Kluyveromyces lactis: one gene and its partners. The main gene of each other region encodes a partner of the protein of the gene in region 3 in a complex. Links are inferred from orthologs where the notes say so. Each region holds a gene or a part of one and is shown on either strand. Other genes may lie near its edges. The genes, in order: POM152, NUP2 and NUP188.

Region 1 (3,759 bases), on a different chromosome or scaffold from region 3:
TCTCTTATTAGAAGAAGTCTCTACTAAATCATAGTTTAACGTGAAAGGAGGCTCACCACTGAATTTAATAGGTACCTTCGTTTTCCCTCCAAGACATAATTTTGTCTCTAGCTTCCCTGAAATCTTTGCACTAGGTTTCACTCTCATGCTGGTTTTGAATGTGTACTCTTTCGAATCTAAGGAGATAGGAGATGTGAAAAGTTCATTTGACAATTCGGTGAAAACAATTTCATAACTGCCTTCTGATGTGGGTGAATAAGTAAACTGGTTTCTGGTTCCTTGGGAGCTGAATTTTTTTGTATCATATAGTTTACGTTCTCCTTGCTCAGTTTTGTATATTTTTGTTTTGTAGTAAAAGGGAGGAACACCGGTAAAAGTAAGATCAAAATTCAAGCCGACCTGTCCAACACATTGATCTAATATTGGGGTTGATCTTACAGATAATTGAGGAGGAATTGGTTTAGTTATCAGAACATTAGATTTTCCAATCACGGCACCGTGGCAATACCTCGATTTTACTGAGAGCAAATTATAAGAACCTGGCTCATCAACTTTGAATTCTAATGTTTTATCATTGAATTGTTTTTCGAAGTATCTCACTTTGGAGTTGTTATCTTCATGGGATAACTGAACGATGAATGGAGCATCCTTGTTAAAATCGCCAGAGTCCAATTTGACTATTAAAGACCTTCTAACAGAACTGTCGGGATTCATTTTTTCATCCAAAGATACTCTTGGTAAGTCGTGCACGTAGAATCTGTGGATCAAATCATACTTTTCTCTTACTTGTGATGATAATGAGGAAAAATCAATGCTATTACCAAATCCATCCACAATTCTTTCGATAGAGTAAACATGTTCACCGTATTCTTTGGTTGAAGTTTCTAATGCGATATCTACAGGGTACGAACGAGCCCATTTTAAATCTTGGACATCTTTTTGACTGTAGAATTTTGAATTCGTTAGCAAAGGTGATTCAAAATATTCTGGTTGAAGTGATGAATCTTCTAGTACGTATCTTTGGCCATTGATTGTCTTAGTATAAGTCAATTTAAGAGGTGGAGCACCTTGTACCTGAATTGAAACCTCATCATTATCTCCAACACATCTATCATTTTCTCCCTTTCCGTTAATGGAAGCCAATGGGCAGTGAGGTAGCACTAATTGGGATTTGTATATTCTCAAATTGATATTATTAGTGTCTAGAACGGTTTTCAACTGGTAAAACCCGATTTTGTTAAGAGGTACAGTAAAGTAATGTATGTTACGATCAGTTTCTTCCTTTGAAATATCTGCCTTGAGTGGTTTTAAATCGTTCTTGGTGAAGTTCCACAGTTCACCTTCATTTGAGTATAGATCTCTGAACTCTAACTGGACTGTATTGATTGTGGATGATGAGTTGACTCTTATAGGTAGTTCAATGGCAGGACCAGATTGGTCCAGTGGTAGACAAAAAGACGAGTGGAAGGGATTCAAATATGCTGTATTTTCTGGCAAAATTTTAATGGTATGTGCACCTTTGAAGTGTTCTGCCGAATTCATAGCCTTTCTTGGGTTGACAGAGTCACCTGTTAAGGACAAGTCTCTGCTGTGATACTGTCTCCATAATGACAATAGAAGCGATACCAATGGGATACTTTGTTCACTGGAGATAAACAGTGTGAGGGTTGCGGATGAAATAATCTGCAAAAGCACTATCAGTGGTTTGAACTTTAATTTGGGTATTTTGAACGTGGGGAGACAGTAAAAGAACAAAGAGTCTATTACCAAATATTTTGAAATGAAGTTTAACCTTGAATTCGATAGAAAAATCCCAGATAATGGTATCCCACTCTTAAGTAGGATTAGATCGTATAGTTTGTAGCATTGAATGATAAAAAAAACGACGAAGGCTAATCTTCTCTGACTGGCTGCATCGAGAACTTCAGTAGAAATCAAAGGTAGCTCCTTAATCGATTCACTCGCTGGGCCATTCTTTGCTCTACTAGTGCTTGACTTCGATTTTCCTGTGTAATTGGAAAAACCGGATATACAAAATGGATCTTCTTTTGGTTTGTTGATCTCTTCATTTCTTCGATCGCTTATTCCTCCTCTGAACGAGTCTTTATCTCTATTTCCAACGTTCCTACGCCTACTATCACTCCACATCGATGGAGTATGTGTATAGAACCCATTTGTTCCGAAACTGGAATCCATTATCTAACTGTATATGCGTCTGAACTTATCTCAGCTTCCCTTTTCAACAGAATATGATTCTAAAGTGCCAATACGCAGAAGTTTAATAGAAAAAAATGGGATCACGCATACAACTTATCACTTAGTCGCTCGCTTTTTAATTGACGATTGGTATGTAACGGGTGCCTGGATCGCGATTGCTTGTTGATCCTAGCCTGCATCTGCATACATGAGAAGACCAAACATAAGCTTAAAGTTTGAACTTCTGTTTGTTGACAAGATCTGAATCGGATATATCATTATGTACGATTCAGGTTTCGCTTCTGATCAAGGTACAATGGTCAAGGACGCAGCAACTCTATATGATCTGCCACTACGTTGTGGTCTTAATATTCGAATTATAGCCTCTTGAATTCTTCGCCTATCCAGAATTACCAGTGAGATCGTTTGCATCGATATTATAATGTCGATTCCGTTGCATAGCTCCATTGCTTACGTCAAATTCCCGTCAAATTCCCGTCATCCTCTCATAAAACCCTAGTCAGAAGCAAGGAGGACATAAATGCTAGTAAGCAAATGTCTTTACCCCATCTGGCTAATGAATCCTGAATTAGGTAAGTTTTATCATGACCTCATCTGATAAAAACCTCGGCAAATTTGAATGCCAGATTCAGTAATAGTAATGATAGCTAAGGGTCCTAACATATATAATATATATATTTACCAGAGAGAAAAAGAATGTTTTGGTTGGAATCGAGATACTTCCATTGTCCAGGATCGTCTCCTTTTTTGAATCACAACTGGAGCACTGGAACTTATTTGTTTTCAACACCATATACAGCTCTCACGTTCGTCGTATATAACATTACAGAGGTGCATTTGAATCTCCTTCTATAAAAGAAGTTTAGAAATTTAAGGTTTTGATTTATTTGATTTGCACTCTTACAAATAAGTCATTTACGAGAAGAGAGTTTGCTAAAACACGATACGTTAGAATCTGTAAGAGTTTGAGGCGCTAGCTCAATAGAGGTCAGATATTCTGTGTTGTAAATTGGTGATAGTTCTGCTGTTTTCATTCTCTGTTTATTGGAATTTAGATAAAGGAACGAAAGACGGTAATTTATTCTTGGCACGTTACTGTTGGTACTTAAAGATTATCTAAACTGTGAAACTGCCATGCTTATACTATCTCGTGTATTCGAGAGGAACCATGTTGAAATTTTGAGGAAGTTTATGAAGTTTGTCGGACCTGGGATCATGGTCAGTGTTGCATACATGGACCCTGGGAACTATTCTACTAGTGTGTCAGGTGGTGCACAATTTAAATACAAATTGTTGTTCATCACATTCATTTCAAACATATTTGCGATTGTCTTGCAATGCCTCTGCATCAAGCTAGGTACAATCACTGGTTTGGATTTAGCTGAAAACTGCCGTCGTCATTTTTCAAAGCGTGTTAATTATATTCTATACGGGTTTGCAGAAGTTGCAATTATCGCAACAGACTTGGCGGAAGTGATTGGTGCTGCCGTTGCATTAAATATCTTGTTTAACATTCCCTTGTTATGGGGTGTGCTGTTGACC
Region 2 (3,563 bases), on a different chromosome or scaffold from region 3:
TTCCAGTTTTTATTCTGGGAAATTGTGAAGAAGTTCGAGCTTGAGACACATTCAGATGATGAGGAAGATACCTTGTTCAGCAATGAAGACACTGTTGATGAAGACACTAGATTACAAAGATTGGCTAAGCAAGGCCGATTCTTTGGCCATTTAATAGCAGAAGGTCACTTGAAACTTGATGCTTTCAAGCATGTTCCGTTAATGGCAGGACTCAACTCAGATGGAATAATCTTCTTTGATATTTTGCTTTTCCAGTTGTTCCTTTCCGAAGGTAAGGCAGCCGAAATAAAGATCAAACGAGATGGAAAGAAAACATTTGAGTATAACTCTGATGGTTTGTCTTCTTTGATCGAGAAAGGTATTAACATTCAGAATAAGAATGTTATTTTAAAAGCGCTAAGATGGTTTATATCTAAGCATTTTGATTATATCAAGTATATTTCAGGTATGAAAGGCTCAAAAGAACATGATAGAGAAAGTAGAAGACTGTCTTGGGCAGTTGCATCTTTCAAAAAACTGATAGAAGAGGAGCTCAAAGGTGCTGAAGATTGACTATTTTAAGTACTTTTTTTTGCCATTTTAATAGTTACACATGCATATATGAACTAAGTTCAAATAGTTCTATTAATTAACAGTTAAATGTACTTAATTTTACATCGGTGATTGAGCATCCTTGATCGCTTGTACTAATTTTCTACCATCAGCCTTTTGTTTCACTTTTACGACGTATGTGTCTAACCCTCCTTCCGCTTTAATTGCAGGACACTTAACCAAATTCTCATTATTTGGATCTAATGCTTCATAGGAAAATGACTTTATAATACTAGTATTTAGCAAAATATGACCCATACCGTCTGACCTACAAAGTATTCTTGCTTTTGTATTGTCTTCCTTGTTTTGCAAAACCTTCAATTCACCTACACCACGGGAATCATAGGCTTTCGTCTCAGTATTGAAAATCATTAGCTTGGCGCGTTGCGAAAAGAGTAGATTCTCATTCTCCTCACCGTTCGATAGATTCAAAGTTTTAGATGGCTCTTCTTGTGCCTCAGCAGATGCGTCTTCGCTGTTTTTTTCACTAACTTCCTTGGCAGTATCCTTATCAGATGTTGGAGCAGATGAGGCAAAGGGTAAAGAGATCTTGAAGCCAGATGATTCACCTTGTGGAGGCGCCTCTTCAGATTTGTTGGCACCAAAACTGAATGCTGGTACAGTTGATGCTGCTGTTGCCCCAAACGTAAACGTAGGTTTTTTCTCATCTTTTTTGTCGGTCTCCTGTTTTCCAAAAGTGAAAGGAGTGGAGCCTGTTGAAGCTTTACCAAATGTAAATGAAGGTTTAGATGACTCAGCCGGTTTTTCAGAGGTTGTTGAGGTACCGAATGTGAAAGAAGGCTTTTTAGCTTCATCATTACTGTTTTCCTTGCCCATAGCTCCAAATGTAAAGGAAGGCTTTGATGAATCTTTGTTTTCAGTTGCTGTCCTTTGCACTGGAGCAGAGAAGCTAAACGATGGTTTAGAGTCCGCCGATGGAGCAGGGGCAGAGAATGTACCGAAGGTGCTAGCTGGCTTTGCTTCTTCCTTTTTATTTTCACTTTCTTTGGCCAAATCTTTATTGTTGCTGAAAGAAAATGAGAACGGAGATGATGAATTACCATTATCAGCCTTATTTGACCCAAAGGCAGGAAGAGCTGGTTTGCTTCCCTCATTTTTCTCTATGGATGGTGCGGACGCAGAAGGAGGGAATGTTGGTTTAGATTGTGAAGAGTTCCCAAATATACTAGCTGGCTTGTTATCCGTTGGTTTTTCAGCTGGTTCAGATTCCTCTGTCCTTGAAGCATCATTCTTTGGTAAAGTAAAGGCACTGGACGATACAGTCCCATTAAACGTAAATTGGGGTCCCTTGATCTCTATCTCGCTGTCGCTATCGCTGTCAGGTTCCTTACGCTTATTCCCACCGAAGCTGAAAGGCGGATCAGACGTCGTTGGTTTCTTAGCCAAGACAAACTTTGGGCCTTCAACATTAACGGCTGGTTTTTCCTCTTCAGAATCACTATCGCTGTTAATCTCAATTTGTTCTTTTTTATCTTGCAGTCTCTCTTCCGTTACGGTCGTTGTCGGTTTAGTCACCTCCGAAGGTAGAGCAAATGATGGTGCTGCGCTAGGCTTTGCGAATGCAAATGGATTTTTAGGTTTCTCCACATTTGCTGATGTGGTACCAAATGTGAATGAGCTAGTTGGAGGAGCGTTTGCAGCGCCATTAGTTTTCGCTTCTGACCTTAACTGTTGCGAATAGGTCTTGTATTTATCGAACAGGAAAGAAATATCAGCAACTGGATCTGATTCCAATGTAGAATTTATTTTATTTTTGAATTGCACGTTCAATGCCGTGAGTTTTTCGTTTAAGTCAGTGCCTTGAGGTTTCTTGTCATCCTTTATCACTTTGAACATGTTAGGTTTATCACCCGCAGTAAATCCTCCCATTTTCCTCTTTGGCATTGCAATTTTTCTGGTACTCATTACAGATTCGCTGGCAACGGCAGGTTTATCAAATGGAGTCTCGTCATCTGAAACATTATTACTATGTCCGTTCTCAAGACCTTCTCTGGTCATCTGAGAACCCGCAAATCTCTTTGACATATCCTACAGTGAGTATTGTGCTTGGAAAGATCAGCTCAAGAGAAGTCACTTTCTTAATCAGAAACGAATTGAACTAACGGGAAGCAACCGGAAGTAGCAGAAAAGGAGTTTAAGGATTGCTGATGTGTAAGCATTCAGACATCAACATGAGAATTGATGATACTAACACCAGAAATAATAATAAAGCAGCTCGAAATTCTAAATCCTTCAATATACTGTTGACTCGTGTGGGATGACTTATGCTGAACACGTGACTACATGTTATTCTGCTTGTGATGGGTTGCTCAGGGGAGTAAAAATGTAAAAAGTATTTAGCGAAACTTTCGAATCGCTTTCTCCTCCGATACCGGGAGTCGAACCCGGGTCTCCACGGTGAGAGCGTGGTGTGATAGCCGTTACACTATATCGGAATATAAAACGTTGTTATGCTTTCAGGGATTATTTGCAATAGCCACCGTTATAACCGACACACGTGCAATGATTTCTTACCTCATTAGTTGACGCAGGTGGCAAGTACGATGGCCGTAACACCATGTAGGACTTGTTGGTGTAAAACTTGCTAATCTATCAGATGAAACATCTGTTTTATAGCGCTCTTATTTTTAATGTTGTATTACGGGACTGTTTTGTTGGATCCAGACACCACGTTATATATCCGAAAGTTGAACTTTGTATATTTTCTCATGCGTTATTTCCTTCCTAAAGAGGAAATTATCTCCTTTCCAAAATGAGTCCATTTGTCGCAATCCTCGTTATCCTGCTTCACTTTCTCTGCTTCTCCGGTAGGAAGAGGAATACTTTGCGTCCTGGACAAACTCACTTCGGATTGAATATTCATTTTTTGATTTACATTGAATTGCAACTTAGAGATATTAACAAGTTGTTTAAAGTAGCACCTTGATTATTATAGGGTTATTTACTTTTGA
Region 3 (3,759 bases):
GAACTTAAAAAGCGATTCGTTATGTCGTTTGCAGCTGATGATAGGACTTTAGTAATTTTAGTTTCTGGCGGATTAGATGGATCGATACCATAAATATTGTAAACGACAGTCGTAAACAAGATGGTTAAGTTTGTTCCTAGCTCATATTTCTCAGCTATGGAACGATAGTTCCAGTATTGATAACTTTCATAAACATGTATGAAATGCTGAAAGAATTTCGAAAGAATTTCCTTTTTCAGATTTTCTGGGAATTCTGTCTCTAGTGTTAGAGATTCTAGAACTAATTGTTGCGCCAATTTGATAATCTTGATTGTTATTGAGTAGTTTCCATTTGGTAATTCCATGGTGCCCAAGACACTAGAAATCAATCCGGATTTGCCATACCTATCAAGGAGTTCAGATCTTGCTAAATGCGACCATACGAACTGAGAAAAGTCATCTATGGAACTGATGAGTAGGTTGAGACAATGATCAATAACGTCATAGTCTCTTAAATGCAAAGATTGTTCGAAGACTTTGAAAATAACATCAAAAATGTAATCTTCTGTAAGATAGGTAGACATTTGTAGTAGAATATCGGCCGATTTCTCCACCGAGATACCACTTCCTATAACACTAGAAATTAGATCCAGCATTGATAATATCATTTCCTGAACATCAGAATCTTGAACACCAGCAGATGAAGTGGACAGATATCTATCGCATGCATTTTGAAGGACTCTACCCAATAATGACCAACCGTTATATTTATACAAGAACATCACGACGTCATCATTAGTTACTGAAGGTAAGATCTTAGCCTTCGTGTCCTTCGGAATTGGTAAGAGAACATTCCCACTAGGTTCCAACGGTACTCGAGCAAAGGTCTCACTCTTTATGGATATCAAATCTGTTGAGTGTGCATCATCAGCTAAGTCGTACTCTAGACTTCCCAATACAACCTCTTGGACATAGGTGGGAAGTTCCTTCCACTCAAAATTTGCAAATTCAGCATTCGCTGAGGTTATGTTTATCATTGGAATGAGTGACTCTTTCAACAGCGGAGCCTTTGTTTTTATCAAGAAGAATTTTTTCTCAAATTCTTTGTTTGTCAAGAACTTTTCCACATAATGAGTTGGTGCGTTACTGAGGACAGTTTTGATCATTTTGGAAGTCTTTATACTGATTGGAACGAAATACAACGAAAAAGTGATGAAGGAAGTCAGTATAGCCGCAAAGAAGGCTTGATCTTTGAATATTTGTGAAACCTTAGAAATCTCTTCGAAAACATTTTCATTCTCTGCAGTAAGGGCAAACTCTTTGATTAGCTTCGAAATGGGTTGTGAGTTGAAGACTTGCTGCACGAATTCCAGATTATTTTCAGGATCTTCTTCTAACAGATACGATTTGGAATATAAGATGAAAGACCAGTAGTATACAATAATTGCTGGCGGATCTGTGTTTATTATGAGATCTAGAAGCCTTCTGAAAGTCGCAGCGTCATTAAAAAAAGACGATTTTACGTCTATCGTGTCTTCGCTTGTATTATATCCTGTCATTATAATAGTATCCATTATCATTAAAGAATTTGCCATGTTGTAGATCTCTGATGGGACATCTTTATTATCCTTGAGTATGGCGAAATACTGTGTTTCTTCGAGCAACTCGTACCATTTTGTGATAATTTCCAGACCCACTGGTTGATTCAAGCTTACGAATGCGATCAAATTCAATAGATTTGTAATATAAATAAGATCATACGACATTAATGAGCTCTTATAAGAATCATTTTGCTCTGCTGAGCCGATAAGTGCTACACAGTTCTTGACCAGAAGAATTGCTTCTGATATCATTGTGGACCTATTCTTGTAGACAAGTTGTAACATGGAGCCCTTTAAAACTGGGAAAGAATCATGATTTAATAAAACGAGGGTTGTATCCAAGACACAGTTTCTTTCATGTAAGATCTGTTTAACGATGGTATCTTTTTCCATTGGACAATCTGGGAACCTGGTCCTGGTCTGCGAAATAACTCTCAAACACTCTTTTTGATGTACATTTAACGCAATTGAAAGCTCATTGGCCAATTTTTCGTCCTCTACCGTCACATTATATGAATAACCCCTCAATTGCAGCTGTTTTCCAACGGAATCAGTGTTTTCAACTGAGGTAAACCTCGAAAGATGAACCAGTATCTCTTCGTTGTCCTTCAAGAATTTATCGATTGCCTGGAAAGTAGGCTCATTATGTACCTTATCGTATTCCCCAGAGCGGAGAAACGCACAAATTCCAGCAAATGATAAAGATGACATGCTGCACGGTACACCTGGCCAGCGCAATAGCCTTTAGTTGACGTGAATCTGTACCACTGTCTCATCGTCTTAATTGTTAGATCGAATAGTTTCATTAAATATAGTTTTGTTTACATTAAAATTTTGCACTACATATGAGAGAGGGTAACATCAAAATATTGGACATGTATATCATAAAGGCATAATAAGAGGAGATGAGCTGTGCCAGGTTAACCTAACCGAAGAAGCTTACTGACCACTGACTGCTTTTAAGTTCATACATAGTACCATTTGTCCACTTCTTGTGGGATTGGTGTGTCATTTTGTTGATTAGGTTCAACTCTTATGTGAGTTCCCGCTCTGACAATGGAGGGAATCTCGGCCTCTGATCCATCTGCTTTAATTTCTCCCCTAACTAGAGCATTCCAGGCTTCGTGACATTCTTGTACCGTAGAAAGTGTAGATGCTTGGTCCTGGTACTCACCTTCGAATGCAAACACATTAGGTTGTTTCCCAGCAGGAATCTTGTAATCTCTGAACCATGTTCTAGTTGCATCCAAGAGACCAGGCATAACAGTGTCTACATCTGCCAACTTGTTCAATTTTATAGCAATGGGATCTTCAATGTCGATACAAATGACTTTCCAATCGAGTTCTCCATCGTCAATGAGGGCTAATGACCCTAGAAGCTTTACTTTTTTGATATCTCCCATTTTGGCGATGCTGGAACCAATTTCACAACAGTCCAATGGGTCATTATCACCCTTGAAACCGGGCAATACTTCAATAAGTGGCTGTTCCCATGTCTGTGGGATAGCCCCATAGTTATGAATGTATCCATGGTAAGGGAAAATGTTATTGACAAATCGTGGCTTGCCTTTCTTTATGTCCTGTGTGATGGGGTTAAATGGTTCGGTCTTACTGATTTCAAACTTCCCATTACTCCAACGTGGAACCTCTACGATCATGTTACATGTTTTGGCATCAACATCTAAGTCTAATGGCACATCGTGGAAATAGGACCCAATTTCACCGTTTGGCAGCTGCAAGTACTGTTTAAAAGACGATGAGTATTTGCTTCCAACCAAAACGTTGTGGTAGTTTCTAGCATGTAAATGGTTGCCAATCAACCTCAAATGTTGCGAAGCCCTTCTCATATCTCTAGACATCAATTCCCACACAGCAACTATGGAATGAATCCTTTCTGTGGGATACCCAGACTCGACTGGACCACGATTCCTTAGTGTTTGGTTGTAATTCGGTAAGCTTGAAATTTAATAGACAAATTATTATTTAATCAGTGATTAGTGGAAATATTACAAAAAGATAAATTAAAAGCTTACACAACATGGTAAGAGAAAATGGCTTAGATTGGATCTTGACGATTATTCCTCTCTCTGAAGATTATCTTCATCTTGTTCGTCAAACGGATTAGATACAACTTGCATTTGAGAATCATTGTAAGAAGGTGGAGCAGTTTCCCACTCAA

What was found.
Region 1: NUP188 (region 3) and POM152 share a complex: the UniProt entries of both Saccharomyces cerevisiae proteins name them as parts of the nuclear pore complex. The link is inferred for Kluyveromyces lactis from reciprocal best matches to the Saccharomyces cerevisiae genes NUP188 and POM152.
Region 2: NUP188 (region 3) and NUP2 share a complex: the UniProt entries of both Saccharomyces cerevisiae proteins name them as parts of the nuclear pore complex. The link is inferred for Kluyveromyces lactis from reciprocal best matches to the Saccharomyces cerevisiae genes NUP188 and NUP2.

Annotation. Positions count from the first base shown.
Region 1 is NC_006042.1:1,588,927-1,592,685, forward strand, and holds the start of POM152 (Pom152p), read right to left. Parts: upstream 2,197-3,759; coding exon 1-2,196. Other genes in the region: putative divalent metal ion transporter SMF3, read left to right, coding at 3,352-3,759. UniProt on the Saccharomyces cerevisiae protein: Functions as a component of the nuclear pore complex (NPC).
Region 2 is NC_006038.1:545,623-549,185, forward strand, and holds NUP2 (nucleoporin NUP2), read right to left. Parts: upstream 2,638-3,563; coding exon 652-2,637; downstream 1-651. Other genes in the region: SGD1 (Sgd1p), read left to right, coding at 1-552. UniProt on the Saccharomyces cerevisiae protein: Functions as a component of the nuclear pore complex (NPC).
Region 3 is NC_006041.1:972,529-976,287, forward strand, and holds the start of NUP188 (Nup188p), read right to left. Parts: upstream 2,292-3,759; coding exon 1-2,291. Other genes in the region: inorganic diphosphatase PPA2, read right to left, coding at 2,546-3,439; RSN1 (Rsn1p), read right to left, coding at 3,656-3,759. UniProt on the Saccharomyces cerevisiae protein: Functions as a component of the nuclear pore complex (NPC).